Caenorhabditis elegans: one gene and its partners. The protein of the gene in region 1 purifies or fractionates together with the protein of each later gene. This does not show direct contact. Each region holds a gene or a part of one and is shown in the gene's direction. Other genes may lie near its edges.

Region 1 (3,658 bases):
GCGCCCGACTCTGGGCTTACTGGAGCACCCTGCCACATCGAATGCTCAAGAAATACCCGGAGCAAACTATCTTCTACGCGACTTTCGGAGTAGCCACACTATTGATTGGCGGATATAAAATGAAGAAGTACTTGACAGAAAGTGATAAGCCATTCTACCGCGGATACTACGACGTCGTCCGTTCCAACGACCCAATCGCACAAAATTGGAGAAAACCAGAAGAATATCCAGCACCGTATCTTCTTTCAAGTGTTGAGACAGCTCATTGATCAATCGTCCAAAATAATCAACGAGAAGCCAATAAGTCGTAGACGATTTTCGATTTTCACTGTAAATTGGACACATTCGGTGTTTTATTTTTTAGAAGAGTTTTTAAAATGTAAATGAAAGTTTTCCTTTTTAAAATTTGTTTTCATTTGTCTACTGAAGTGTTTCAGCCACAACAATTATATTTTCTATATGTATTTATATTAATTTTATTTTTCATTTTTATCCAAAGTTTCAGGCTGATTCGAGCTCAAAGATGCACAATCTTCTGTCTCGTGCTAACGCACTCCTAGCGTTCACTCTTTGGGTGATGGCCGCAGTCACAGCAGCTTGTTTCCTGTCAACAGTTTTCCTCGACTACACTGTTCCAACCAAGCTCACTGTCAACGATGTCAAAGTGTAGGTTTTATAAGAGAAATAAAAAAATTGCGAAATTCTTTCAAGCGTTTCTCCGAAAACATTTTAAACGTATTTCTGTAAATCTTATTCCATTTTCAGGAGAAACGTTGTCGACTACGCCACGGATGAGCAACAAGCCGATCTCGCCACACTAAACTTCAATCTGAAAGTCGATTTTTCAAAGATTTTCAACTGGAACGTCAAGCAATTGTTTGTTTATTTGGTTGCAGAATATAAATCGAAAGTCAACGTAAGCTTTGGAAACTTTTATTGAGGATCGAAAAAAACTTCTTTTTTTTTGCAATTGTAGGAGGTTAACCAAGTGGTGCTATGGGACAGAATTGTGGAACGTGCTGACCGTGTGGTTATGGACGAGATCGGTGTCAAGTCAAAGTATTATTTCCTCGACGATGGAACCAATTTGCTTAACCACAAAAATGTCACCTTTGTTTTGAGGTTTGAATTGAAAATTCGATAAATAAAACCAAATATTAAAATATTTAGATACAACGTGATTCCAAACTCTGGCTATCTTCGTCTTGTTCAATCTTCCGATCAAGTTGTTGTTCCGTTCCCAACCACATACACAACTACTCGAAGATCCTAGTTACATCTTATTTTACTTGTTTCATATGAAATACTATGGGTTATGTGTTTCATCCGTAATTTATTTAATTCATCCGATTGTGAGATATTTCTTAACTTATTTTTGATTTTCTTCACCACATTTCATAATAAGATTTAAAAATCCGGGAATTAAATTAATTTTTATTAAATGTCTTGGTTGCTTTCACCCTTTGCATATTTACTTATTTTCGTTTCTCTCTTCCATATTATTTTAAATTACAACCTTCAGGATCAGAAATAATGGGCAAGTTCTCGAAAATCAAGAAAGTTCAAGAGGAGGAATCTGCGCACCAGAAAATGGAATGGGAAGCTGCCGGAGCCAAGGACTCGAGCTCTGATGATTCTTCTGATGAATCGGTAAATCTTTATTAGCTAGTTTAATTTCCAAAAGGTTTTTTTGGAACAAGATTCTAATTGGAAAGTCTAAAAAATTTATTTTCAATATCTAATACCATCTTATTATTAATTGTAACATTTTCAGGACAATGATGATCAGCCAAAACAAGCAACTGAGGAGACCCGTAAACGCGCGGAACTTTGGACAAACCGCGAACGTGTACTTGTGCTCTGTTCCCGCGGAGCCGACGTTCGCACCCGTTATTTGATGAAGGACATCAAGGATTTGTTGCCACATGCAAAAGGAGATTCGAAGCTGGATCAGCAGAAATCTCTGAATGTTCTCAATGAGATTGCTGAAATGAAGAATTGCACAAAAGTAATGTACTTTGAAAGTCGTAAGAGAAAGGACACTTATCTCTGGATGTCAAATGTTGAGAAGGGGCCATCCATCAAATTCTTGGTGCACAATGTGCATACAATGAAGGAACTCAAAATGTCAGGAAATTGTCTGAGAGCTTCAAGACCAGTCCTTTCATTTGACGATGCTTTTGATAAGAAACCACAATTGAAGCTTATCAAGGCCGTGCTTATGCAGGTAATTTTGTAAAAATTGAATTTGAATAAATATTTTGTTAGAAAAAATTATAATTTTCACAAAATAATTTCAGACTCTTGGAACACCACATCATCATCCACGCAGTCAGCCATTTGTGGATCACGTCTTTAATTTTTCTGTTGGAGAAGGTGATAAAATCTGGTTCCGCAATTTTCAAATTGTTGATGAGAGTCTTCAACTTCAGGAAGTTGGTGAGTATATAGTTTGAATACTTTTTATTTACATGCACAACATTTTTCTTCAGGACCACGCTTCGTTTTGGAAATGGTTCGTTTGTTCGCTGGCTCATTCGAAGGAGCCGTACTGTACGACAACCCAAACTACGTCTCTCCAAATGTGATCCGCCGTGAACACCGTAAAGGACAACATTCGTATATCGAGAAACAGTTGGCTGTGAAAGCATCAAATATCAAACAAGCTAAAGTCACAGAAATTCTCGCTGAAAAGACTGTTGATTTGGTTGGAAAGGTACGATTTTGAAAATAAAAAACATGAAATTAAAATCAAATTTGACAAAATACAGTCATAATATTTACTATAAAATTATTATACAATTATTTCCAAGTACCACAATCGATTTGAACGAGTTTTTAATTTATCTTCCTTTCCAGGAATTCGATACACAAAACAATGCCGCTGCTGACTCAGAGGCTGCTGCTCAGATCACTGCTCAAATTGAGAAACGTCGTGTTCGCAAGAAGAAGAGCCAAGCATCAAAGTACACTGGATCCGATTAATTTTTGTTGAATTTATCACATTTTTGTTGTTATTGTTGATTTTTTATCTCAAGCTACTCTGTTGTTTCTTACTCTGATCTTTTTATGCCTTTTTTGAATAAAAAATTATCAAAGCGAAATTCAATTGTTTTTTTCTAAATATGTGTCAAAACCAACTCAAATTTATTATTTTTCTAATTTCTCGAGATGCTTTTGTCAAGAATATGTCGTTTCAGAATGCTTACACGATTCACACGACTTCGTCCAATTCTACAGTTACGATATCTTGCTCAAAATTCGCATATCGAAGAGGAATATTTCGAAGAATTAGAGCCAACTGGAATCATTTCCAGTCACGAAACAAGTCAAGAACCTCCAAAACGGACAGGATTCAGAAGCCAGAATTTGTCAGAAGACGCTGATTTTGTAGAGAATGTGGTCGGAGCTTTGACTGATCAAAGAGCAAAAGATGTATTTGTTGTAAAATCAGAAGAAACAGAAATGACACCGTATACACATAAGGTAATTAATCCTCGTAATTCAGTAAGGAGAAAATTAATCTCATATTTTCAGATAATTTGCTCAGCATTCAATTCGCGACAAGCTTCAGCAATTTCTGAAAATCTTCGATCTCTTCTAAAAATTGACGGAGTGTCGAATGGATCCATGTCACATGCACGAAGGAGCACAAAAC
Region 2 (4,217 bases), on another chromosome or scaffold:
AGAAAAAGTTGGCAAAACGTGCGGTACAGAATCAGTAAGTTTGCTGGTTTTGGAATTAGAGAGAACTTATGATTTTCAGGCAAGGCGAGAAAGTGGCAACTGAAGGGAAAGAGAAGGAGAGAATTAAAGCATAGAACTCGTTTTCATAGATTTATTAGAAGAATAAAATTGAATTGATATGTGGTATTTTCTGTGAATTATTTTTTTACATTTTTTACATGCATTTCAAATCGAAAGAAACACTCAAGATACTTTGAAAAATCAACTTGTACGTTAAATAGTTCAACCACCACTTCATCCAAATGAAAAAAATATTCATGGTTTCTCAACTTTTATGATATTTTCAGAATATTTGCAAAGAAAACAGAAAGTTGTTGTGAAAGATGCATTTCCCTTTAATGGTAGTTTTCAAATAATATTTTTTGAACCACCGCCAATTGAACGAGGTGGTGGCCTAGGAACCGACAAGCGAATATTTCTAGGCCATATTTTCGTTTGAGCTTTTTATGGTTCGAATTTTAGTTTTTCACTGGTTTCTATTGTCTTCTCGGCTTTCTAAACGTTTTTTGTTCACTTTAGTAAAGTTGAAGATGAGTAATTTATGATTCTTTTTCGTGTAATTAATAACAGTATAAAAAACTGATAGTATCAAACTGCAGTGATTTTACGAAACTATGTTTTTATGTCTCACTGATGAATATGATGATAAAACTGACATTAATGAAAATGATATTAGACCAAAATCGCTGATAAACTCTTTAAAAATAATACCTGATGCAATTTTTCAATTTCTGTGACGCAAATTTATTTTGAAACCGGGTTACATCGTATAAATATGAAAATGACACACTATCTTGTACTTTTCCTCTTTCAAGGTTTCTCAAAAAAAAAATAGATTTTAAACTTTTTTAATTTCAGAAAATGTTCGTTCCGGAGCACATCACAGCGACCGGCGATGAAATGCGTGGACATGGCGGAGGTCCTTCTCGTCGTACGAATCGTCAATCACTTGTCGAACAAATGGAAGTTCCAGATAGAATAACTGTAACGGGAGGTGATACATATGGAAGAATTACGGAAGATTATCGTAATAGTGTGGATAAACTTCCAACGGAAAATGCTCATTATTTGACTGATGTGCCAGATGTACTCACTGTTGCCGATACACAATATCCGGTTGAAGATCAGCGGCGAGAGGTTAGCTAATTGAGGATAAATATATATTTAATAACTGCAACAATTTAGCTAGACACAGCCCGGACGGACAGCTCGATGGTTGTCGACGAGGATCCGCTCCGTGAACTAAAAATGCTCCGTCGCCAAATGGGTCGAATCAGTGCGAGAGTCTTCGAGTTGGAAGAGAAAAACGAGACACGCAGACATCGAGAGCAAGCCATTTTCGTAGCTCTTCTCGGTGTTGCAATAACGGCGTTCTGGTCACTTTTGAAACGATAAAATTCGGAGGATTTATTTTTTTATTCATTTTTCATTGCAATATGATTTTCTGATTTTCAATAGCTCTCAAAAAAGCAAAAATTTATCAAAACATTGATTTAAATGTTATAGATTTTCGTTAGTCCCCTTCATACGGTATTTTTGTTTCCGGTTGAACCCTCACATCTCCTCTTCTCTCTTCTTGTATTTATTCTTCGTTTGTCTCTCATTTCTTACTTGCTTCCCAAAAATTTTCTGAATAAAATCAATTATTTTCAGATCGAAAGATGGACTTGGCGGATTTAATGGAAGTGGAAAACGGTGATCACTCAATCAATCAGAAGCACGTTCAAATCACCTTTTTCAGTAAAGATGAAGAGTAAGTTAGAATTTTATCCAAATGCATCATGTTCGTTTTTCAGAATTCCGCAAATTCCGGATGCCGTCTTTGATGTTCCGACTGGAGCAGAATGTGATGATATGAATCTTCTATTGAACAAGACTATTGAAGCCAATGATGGTTTATTTCAGCTATTTCAAATAAAAATGTTATACAATTTTATTTTTCAGGTGCATGGAAAGAGCGGCGATTCGAATTTCTGGTTGGTGAAACGTTTTTGCGCACGAGTCTAGCTGAATTCATCGAGGAATACGAAGTGGAAACGGTAAATTTCATTTAAAAAAAGTTTAGAGTTTTAATAAAACAAGCTCTGCAGGAAACAATCCTTAAAGTGGAATGCGTAATTGGAATTGAAGCTCCAAAACCACTTCATGATATCCAAGCGCCTGATTGGGTTTCTTCGGTACAAATCGCAAACGGCCAGTATGTTTTTTCCGCTTAATGTTTGGTAAAAGTCTCATTCTGAAATTTTCAGCATTTTCTCAACAACCTACGGAGGAGACATTGTAATTGTGGATCGTAAAGGAAAAGAGACAAAGTTGGCTGTTAATTCAGCAAATCGTCTTTTAAAGTGCATCTCAATCGTCAAAGCACCATCTAGTCAGTTTTAACACTAGTTGAAATTTAAAAAAACGATAATTTTTGTTTCAGAGAAAAATCAATTGGACGGTACAGAATTTGTGGTCGGCGGTGAAAATCAACTGCTGACTCTCTATGCAATTGAAAAAGGAGCACTTGTTGAGAAGGTTAGGTGTTCGAATTTCGGGGTTATCAGTTTTATCAATAAATTTTGTTTCGAAAATTCTTTTTTTTTATTTTGCAGTCATTACTTCATTCTTAATAAAAATTTTCCAGCTCATCCTTCGTGGTCATGAACGTGCCGTCGAATGTGTTTCAGTCAACTCGGATTCGACCCGTGCGATTTCTGGATCAGTCGACACAAATCTCAAAATTTGGAACTTGGATGCATCTGATGAAGCAACAACATATGAGAAAGAAGAAGAAGAAGAAAGTGCGAAGAAACGCCGAAAGAAAGAAACCAAAACTAAAGTTCCGATGGTTACGATTGGAGGGCATCGTGACAAAGTATCCGCAGTCGAATGGTGTCCATGGAATTCTGGACACGCATTTTCGTGCTCGTGGGATCATACTATTGTTGAATGGGATTTGGAATTAGGTTAGTTCTAATGATAAATATCCTATTTATATACAAAAAATAATTTCATTCAAGCTGGTGAAATTTCGCGGATCAAAGGACCCAAATCATTCACAAGCATTGATCTTCATCCGAAGAGTGATCTTCTCATCTCCAGTTGTACTGATGCTATTCCAAGACTTTATGATCCAAAAAATAGAGGTTTGTTTGTTAATATTTATTTAGTCTCTTGTATTTATAAAACATTTCAGATGGAAGTATGGTTAAACAATCATTCATTGGACATCAAAATGGATGGGTTGAAGCTGTCAAATGGAATCCGTTGGATACAAATCAATTTGTTAGTGTTTCCACCGACAAAACTGCGAAAATGTGGGATGTAAGGTAGGTCTTGTTTCAAAAATTAAAGAACCATTCAGTTTTTACTTTAATATTCGGTTTGTTTCAGATCCTCAAAGTCTTCATTGTTCGACATTCATGGACACGATGATCGTATTTTGTGTGCCACGTGGAATGAAGGACTAATTGCAACTGGATCCGCAGACTGCACAATCAAAATCTTTGAGACTGCTTGATTTGTTTTGTTTTTTGTTATTCTACAAATTCTTATATTGTTTTTTTTTCTATATACCGCGTTTTCTATTTGTTGATTTTGATTTTTTGTTGAACTTTTTATGAAGTTATCCACTTGAATTTATTTTCCATTACCTTCTGACAGTTTTGAACTGTGTTAAATATTTCAATTATTTTTCTTTCTTCAATTTTTCATTCAAGTATTTTCAGAATTTTTCAGTGAGAATCAAAACAAAAGCGTTGCAAAATGGGGAAGGGTTTTCAAAACTTCATGTCCAAAAAGGACTTCCATCCATCCGCTTTTCGGAATCTCAAAATGGTCTGGGAAGCACGACAGAAGAAGTCTTTGGAGGACAAACGACAAGAAGAACTTCGAGTTGCTTATGAGAAAGAGCAAGAAATTTTGAATAACAAGTATGTTGCATTCAATATCTTCTCACTAGATTATAAATATTTTTCAGAGCTCTTCTTGGAGACGAAAAGGCCAAAATGGGATTATCGTTCATGTATGATGCTCCAGCTGGAATGACAAAGAGAGAAGAACCGAAAGAAGAGCCGAAATTCGAATGGCAACGGAAATATCAAGCACCACGTGAAGATTGGGCTAAAGGAAATGAAGAGATCCAAGATCAACCATTCGGAATTCAAGTTAGA
Region 3 (3,805 bases), on another chromosome or scaffold:
GGTTGGAGTTTGCTGGTGGGTTGAAGAAGGACATGGCTTAAATGATAGATCCCTGTAAAAAAGAAAACGAATAAGAAGATAGAAAATAATTTATGTCGTAATATCGTAAAGAGAGATAAACGTTTAATAAATACTTAAAAAAACAAAGAAACATGCAAAAAACCAATAAAAACAGTGCGGGAACGCTGCGTTCACATTCAAAACTATGCTCGCAAGTGTCGTCTAGAGCGTTGCGGTCAGTGCGCTGCGTGTCACCCTGCGGATCTTACTCAAGCGGCAATTCAAAACAGAGTTTTCAGTTTCGAATTTCTGCAAATAATTTTAAGTTTCAGCCCGTTCCTCCGCAAAAATGGTGAGTATTTTAAAGTTTTAAAACATCAAATCAATTTAGAATTCATTCCAATCAAACAATAGGCGTAAAATATGTTTTCATTCATGTATAAACGTTGAAAATCCATTTTTAGGGTTTAGAATAGTAAGAAATATAATTTTGTCGTTGATAGTGAGAAGCTGACCACTCGTTTCATAACGTATCTGTAAAGAACATGCTTAATATTAAGAACTGGACGTCTAGTACTCACGATGAAGTATGAAAAATATAACTATCGCCAAAATTCCTAGCAAAATCAAAAATCCCACTAAGATCAGAGTTGAACAAAAGCATATTGGTCCAGAAATGCCACATATATTTTTTTCTCTATAGTAACGATAATGCTCATGCGGCATATCTCTGTAAAGTACAGATATCATAGAAATTTGATTCTAAAACTTACGTTCCATAGCTCTCAATCGTGGATACTGTAGGTGTTCGATCTTTAGACTTATTCATTTTCATTAAATTTTTCTGAAAAATTGTTTCTTATTGTACAAAAAATCGAAGAAAAATGAGTCACATCGCACATACCATTGCACTCCGACTCTTATCAATTGATAGACTAAAAACCTATTCATGTGTTTGTTCAAAGAGAAAATTCAATCTAAATAATGTTTTCTGGGGGTCTCTTCGTAAATTTTCGGGTCAATATATCTTTATGCTGCTTCCGATAATCGTTTTTCTCTTCAATTATCAGTTCAATTTAAAAAAATGAAGAACATTTGAGATTTTTTCGGGTTTGGACGCAGCATTATGAACGAGAAATCTTTTGTGGAAGAGAAATTTCAATGCGCCGCAGTTCGGCCAAGAATTTATTGGCTGTTTTTTGGGAAGACACATTACCGATATAAAATGTTTCTTGTCAAAGTTTCATGTATTAAAATACTATTTATTTTGTTAATTTTTTAGTGCAAGCTAATTATTTAAAAACTTTCAGCCAGCCGTCTTCTCATTGGTGCTCGATTCGATGTGCAATAATAATTGTTAATAATTTTTTTGTTTTCATGTATTATATTTTTCTTGTTCTTGTGAATGTTTGTAATAATAATTTGTTAATTTTTTACTATTCTTCGATCTTCAAAAGAAAACGTTTTCAGCGTTTTTAATATTTTATAATTGTGTTTTTCTAATTTTTAATGGATTTATTGATTATCGATTTCAGATGGTTCGTAAAATGAATAAGCTCGCCAAGCGGCTCGCCAGCACTTCAAAAAGTCGTCAACCGGAACCAGAAGTGAGGAAAATACTTTGTTTTAAAAAATAATTCAAAATTTCAGAGCGATTCCGACGGATCCGAATTTGACTTCGATAATGCTATCGAGGAAAAACCAATGGAAGCGATGGATATCGAAGAGGTTGAATCAGACGGCGATGACGATGAAAGAGAGGTGAGAATTACTTTTTTAAAAAGTATTTTCAAAAAAAAAAACTGATTGCAGCTCCAAGCCGCATTCGCTGCTGGTCTTCTTAAAGATGGACTCAACATTCAAGTAGCCAAAAAGCGTCCGATCATCAACAAAAGTGCTGAAATGAAAGAAAAATTGGCTGAAATCACAAAAGATCTTCCATGGGTTGAGACTCTTGAAGTGGTAACTCCTCATTCTGAAATGGACAAGAAAGTGGAAAATGACGACTTCCAAAGAGAGTTGAATTTGTAAGTTGCACGAGGGTTGTATAATTTCGAAAATTCTAATTTTTTAAAGCTATAAGCAAGCTGAAAAAGCTGTTCAAATCGCCTATCCACGTCTTCTGAATCTTGGTATCAAAGTTCTGCGACCAACAGATTACTATGCAGAGATGGCAAAGAGTGACACTCATATGCAGAAAGTTCGCAAGAGACTTCTCGGAATTCAAGAAATGAAGGAACGACAAGAAGCATTCCGCCGTATTCGTGAAGAGAAAAAGTTTGCTGTTAAGGTTCAGAAGGTAATGGTTGTTCAAAAAACCAGAAAAATTTCAGCCTAAAAATTAATTAAAATAACGGAAAAATAACTTTAATTTCTAATGGTTCGATTGGACAAACACTCAAAAATGTTTGCAAGTTGAAAGTTGCAGGATAAAATTTTTTTGCAGCAATATCCAACTTTGATACAGTTTTTGAGCACTTCGCAATTGTTTCAAACTGAAATAAAAATCTATTTCCAGATAAAACATTTTTTCTATTTTCCATCACTAAATTTAAATTTAAAATATTGGTAAAACATGCTATTTACTCTGATTCGTTTTGTAGAATTTACAAAAATAAAATCGTTGAACATGAATATCATTTTTTTCAGGAAGTTCTCGCTGCCAAGAATACAGAGAAAAAGAACCTCGCAGAAGCTGTGAAGAAGCACAAAAAGGGAATGAAACAACAATTGGAAGATATGCTGAACAACGTGAAAAGACATGGTCTTGATCAGGATGATGACGCACCGACTGGAGCATTCGGTGACCGTCTAGGAGGAAGAGGTGGTGCCGGAAGAGGTGGAGCTGGAAGAGGAGGATCGATGAGAAACGCAGGAGAACTCAAAAGAAAACTGAAATCGGATAAATTCGGTTATGGAGGAAAGAAGAAGGGAATGAAGAGAAACAACAAGGAGAGGTAAGAAGCTTCATCGGTCTTTCCTGAAATTATTTTATTTTTTTCAGCTTCAATGATCTGTTCGGAGCTCCACGCGGAGGATTCGGTGGACGTGGTCGTGGTGGTGGACGAGGAGGACGCGGTGGACGCGGAAGACGTTAAGCAAACGTTAAGCCTATTTTTATATTTACAATTTATGAACTTTTGTTACATCATTGTTGATTTTTCCTTGTTATGGATTTCGATTTTCAAAATTTTGTTCTTACAGTTATCCCATTTTTATTGTTGATCTTCTGATTTTAGTAATGTCCAATAAAATAATTTGTTGTTGCAAGCATTGAATAACTTCCAAATCGTTTTTTAATCGATCTTGTATTTTTTAAAAAGTCCAACCAAATCAAAATCGCTAAGCAGATTTTTCAGAAAATGCACTAAAAATGGAACAATTTTTGTTTATGACAACATCAGCTTTTGCTGTTTTCATTCTTCTTCTGATCTCAACATCGATACCGTACACTTTTCTAAGGACATGTTGTGTGTCAGTTTAAATTCCAAAATAACAAATGAAAACTAGAAATTTTTTTTTTCAGAAACGCTTCAAAAACATCAATCTCATTCCTGGGATGTGCTTCATGCGGTGTCTTCATTGCCACGTGTTTCCTCGGACTTGTCCCTCATGTCAGACATCAAGAAATGCATTTAAGAGGGAATCAGACGATAGTTGATAGTTATGGATGGATTCCATCGACTGATCAATTAGTTATTATTGGATTCCTGATAATTTTGATAACTGAGCAAATCATTCACGGAATCGGACATTCAATCGGAAATGGCCATTCACATTCAGGACACAGCCCACTGGCAACAAG
Region 4 (3,106 bases), on another chromosome or scaffold:
AACTCCACGTACTCCGGAAAAACAGTCGAGGTCACGATCTGGATCTCAGGGAACACCAGAGAAAAAGTCGCGAAAAGAGAGCTCATCGGAATCTGACAGCGAAGAAATTATTTCAACATCTTCCGAAGGGGCTTTGAAAGGAAGACGTGAAGAATTTGATTCACTGAAATTATGGATTATGAAAAGTAAAGAAACGAATACTTCGTTGTCTATTTATGTCAGTGGACAACCTGGAACTGGAAAAACTGCGACCACAATGAGAGTTCTTAAATCATTGGGAAAATCAGTTCGAAGTTGTATTGTAAATTGCGCTTCAACAAATACCAAATCAGCACTATTCAAAACGATTTTCGAATCTTTGGATTTGGACGGAAAGCCGAATGAAGAAATTTTTGAGAAGCACGTGAAGCAATTCAAAACTCCTCTGGTACTGGTTCTCGATGAGATTGATCATCTCGCGAATCGAAAGAACGCTGCACTCTACGCAGCTTTTCAATGGCCAGAGACGTTGTCTCGAAAAATTATCATTCTTGGAATTGCAAATTCGATTGATTTGACAGAACGACTTCTTCCAAAATTGATGCTCGCGAAGCCACCGAAAAGACTCGTTTTTGAACCGTATACGAAAGATGACATCGTAGAAATTTTGAATGATAAAATGAAAAACGAGGAGGTAAGTTTAAATTTAAAGGATGAGTATCGGTTTTCGGCTTGTATAGACTCAAAATGTACCAAAAAAAACTAATTTTGTAGTGAGAATTTTCAAAAAAACAATTATGGTGGCTAAAAAATTTCGAAGAAAAAAGCTATTTTTAAATAAAATCACCAATTTCGCCCATTTTCTAAGAACTTTTCAGCAGTCTCATTATGAAATTCTTTCGTTTGCGCACATTTTGATTCTTTCCAAGCGAAAAACTCAGAGAACCGGTGCTCCTAAGTTCATTTAGTATTTTACATTTTATAATTTCAGACTTCAATTGACGCAAAGGCAATCGAGTTAACCGCTCGTAAAGTGGCTGCAATGAGCGGAGATCTTCGTACCGCACTCCACATCTTCAAACAACAAAAAAGTCGTATGATTCCTGATGATTCAAAAGTTCCTGGTACCCCAGTTAATGGATGTCGTGAAGTTCTTGGAATCATCAACAATGTCTATTCGTCTCCATTGGCTCGTGCTCGTCTTCCACTTCAACCTCGAATTCTTCTAGCTGTCTCTTTAACACTTTCTGCCAACAAGAAATGCACATTCGATCGGAATTCCCTGCTCCGTGCCTATTATAAAGCTTGCGAGGCTCTTCGAATGCCCGCTCTTGATGACGATGAACTTCATTCAGCGTTCCAGACTCTCGAATCTCAATCCTTCGTCCGTCAGTTAAACGGCGGAAAGCTAGTTCTTCAAGTTGATGCTCCGACGGCAAAATCGGCTATCAGTGACAACGCGATGCTTGATCAAATTGGACTCCTTCAATTTTAATCGCATCTCCTGTAACATAATTTATATCCACTTCTATTTATTGAAATATTGAAAAAGTTTTGAATTTCTTACTTTGGCATTTCCCTGTAAACTTTATCATTCCTCTCACTTCCTTTCAACGCGTTCTCTCTTCTGAATACCTGTCCCTTTACCTTCGGGTACACGTTCTGTGTAATTTATAAACGTTCTCCATATTTATTACAAAACTTTTTGCTCTGAATTTTGGTTTTATATTCCAAAATTTTTTATCTTTATTTTATTATGTCTATAATTATTCTACCCATTTCTTAATTATTCAGATGCGTCCACTGACAGAAGAAGAGACATCGCTTGTATTTGCCAAGTTGGCCTCGTTCATCGGAGACAATGTCTCGATGCTCATCGACAGAAATGATGGAGATTATTGCTTCAGAAATCACAAGGTATTAATTAATTGTTCTTTATCCAATAAAAACTCGATTTGTTCTTCAGGAACGTGTCTATTACTGTTCGGAAAATCTGATGCGTCAAGCCGCCTGCATTGCCCGTGAGCCACTTCTCTCTTTTGGAACTTGCTTGGGAAAGTTCACCAAAAGCAAAAAGTTCCATCTCCAAATCACCGCTCTCGACTATTTGGCGCCGTATGCCAAGTTCAAGGTGTGGCTGAAGCCGAACGCCGAGCAGCAATTCCTTTACGGAAACAACATTCTCAAGTCTGGAATCGCAAGAATGACCGACGGAACTCCAACTCATGCTGGAATCGTCGTATACTCGATGACCGATGTTCCATTGGGGTATGTTCACATTTAATATTCAAGTTAATTAAATATATTTCTCTAGATTCGGAGTGTCAGCGAAAGGAACATCAGACAGTAAGCGTGCCGATCCAACTGCTCTCGTCGTTCTACATCAATGCGATCTTGGAGAGTATCTCAGAAATGAGAGTCATCTCGCTTAATCGGATTTTGGTCTCCATTCAAAAATTTTAAATTCCACAATTTTTCATTTTTCATTGTTATTCTCTTGTTGATGTTGTTTTTGTTGGTCTTCCTTTCAAAATTTTTCATTCAATTATAAAAAATTCAATCTAATTCTGATTCATTCAGGATTCACTTATTGAACAAAAAATTTGAAAAGGTTACGAGTAATAGGCCTAGTTAGTTGAGGTAAAAGCTGAAGAAGTCGAATCGGTGCATCGTCTCCATTTGCACGAAAATATGAAAGCAGGGATACCATGGATGGAAATCGATCGGCAATTGCTTCGGCTCGATTCTGAGACATTCCCGGGCAAACCATCAGCTGTCGGACCCAAGCTTCTTTCACAGTTTCCGCCTTCTTTTTCTGGAGAAGATTCTGGAGTTGGCTGAATGGAACACCCGAAATTTCTTCTATGGCCGCTTTGTTCTGCAAACGAATCGTCACTTCCTTGAGAAATGCAGCTGTGTCTCGAGTATCAGAGCATCTTTGAATAAGATATCCTCCATTGGAAAGAGTTGATGCTACGGCCTGGAATTTTTGTTAGAATTTTGAAAAATCATCAGATTCTAATTCTATATTCTACCTGTTCGCAAGCAACATCTCCTTTATGTTGAGCTTCAATCAAATAAACTCGATTCTTCATCGGAGCCATATTCAATCGTCCTTTCTGCTCAT

The links.
Region 2: the proteins of K12H4.3 (region 1) and wdr-12 fractionate together in Caenorhabditis elegans (co-fractionation; one large-scale study listed by BioGRID). This does not show direct contact.
Region 3: the proteins of K12H4.3 (region 1) and C18A3.3 fractionate together in Caenorhabditis elegans (co-fractionation; one large-scale study listed by BioGRID). This does not show direct contact.
Region 4: the proteins of K12H4.3 (region 1) and C43E11.9 fractionate together in Caenorhabditis elegans (co-fractionation; one large-scale study listed by BioGRID). This does not show direct contact.

The regions. Positions count from the first base shown.
Region 1 is NC_003281.10:8,044,512-8,048,169, forward strand, and holds K12H4.3 (Ribosome biogenesis protein BRX1 homolog), read left to right. Parts: upstream 1-1,522; 5' UTR 1,523-1,533; coding exon 1,534-1,650; intron 1,651-1,774; coding exon 1,775-2,227; intron 2,228-2,300; coding exon 2,301-2,439; intron 2,440-2,492; coding exon 2,493-2,716; intron 2,717-2,859; coding exon 2,860-2,985; 3' UTR 2,986-3,101; downstream 3,102-3,658. Other genes in the region: K12H4.5 (uncharacterized protein), read left to right, coding at 1-269; spcs-3 (Signal peptidase complex subunit 3), read left to right, coding at 524-666, 766-916, 977-1,122, 1,171-1,273; mals-1 (Mitochondrial Assembly of ribosomal Large Subunit), read left to right, coding at 3,202-3,486, 3,538-3,658. UniProt on the Caenorhabditis elegans protein: Required for biogenesis of the 60S ribosomal subunit.
Region 2 is NC_003279.8:5,655,414-5,659,630, reverse strand, and holds wdr-12 (Ribosome biogenesis protein WDR12 homolog), read left to right. Parts: upstream 1-1,713; 5' UTR 1,714-1,721; coding exon 1,722-1,813; intron 1,814-1,856; coding exon 1,857-1,954; intron 1,955-2,004; coding exon 2,005-2,099; intron 2,100-2,150; coding exon 2,151-2,257; intron 2,258-2,309; coding exon 2,310-2,434; intron 2,435-2,485; coding exon 2,486-2,580; intron 2,581-2,689; coding exon 2,690-3,011; intron 3,012-3,065; coding exon 3,066-3,191; intron 3,192-3,241; coding exon 3,242-3,374; intron 3,375-3,438; coding exon 3,439-3,565; 3' UTR 3,566-3,681; downstream 3,682-4,217. Other genes in the region: F55F8.7 (Protein-tyrosine-phosphatase), read left to right, coding at 1-34, 80-134; mff-2 (Mitochondrial fission factor), read left to right, coding at 922-1,197, 1,246-1,455; cir-1 (CBF1-interacting co-repressor CIR N-terminal domain-containing protein), read left to right, coding at 3,811-3,977, 4,025-4,217.
Region 3 is NC_003280.10:5,714,772-5,718,576, forward strand, and holds C18A3.3 (putative rRNA-processing protein EBP2 homolog), read left to right. Parts: upstream 1-1,535; coding exon 1,536-1,607; intron 1,608-1,650; coding exon 1,651-1,761; intron 1,762-1,812; coding exon 1,813-2,027; intron 2,028-2,076; coding exon 2,077-2,299; intron 2,300-2,649; coding exon 2,650-2,957; intron 2,958-3,004; coding exon 3,005-3,098; 3' UTR 3,099-3,267; downstream 3,268-3,805. Other genes in the region: Cytotoxic granule-associated RNA binding protein tiar-1, read right to left, coding at 1-34; lelo-4 (Late ELOngation arrest), read left to right, coding at 153-352, 1,311-1,479; C18A3.10 (uncharacterized protein), read right to left, coding at 524-534, 582-730, 774-829; zipt-3 (Zinc/iron permease), read left to right, coding at 3,374-3,474, 3,527-3,805. UniProt on the Caenorhabditis elegans protein: Required for the processing of the 27S pre-rRNA.
Region 4 is NC_003279.8:4,266,635-4,269,740, reverse strand, and holds C43E11.9 (60S ribosome subunit biogenesis protein NIP7 homolog), read left to right. Parts: upstream 1-1,773; coding exon 1,774-1,896; intron 1,897-1,945; coding exon 1,946-2,247; intron 2,248-2,293; coding exon 2,294-2,411; 3' UTR 2,412-2,542; downstream 2,543-3,106. Other genes in the region: cdc-6 (Cell division control protein), read left to right, coding at 1-673, 971-1,474; mus-81 (Crossover junction endonuclease MUS81), read right to left, coding at 2,567-2,959, 3,015-3,106.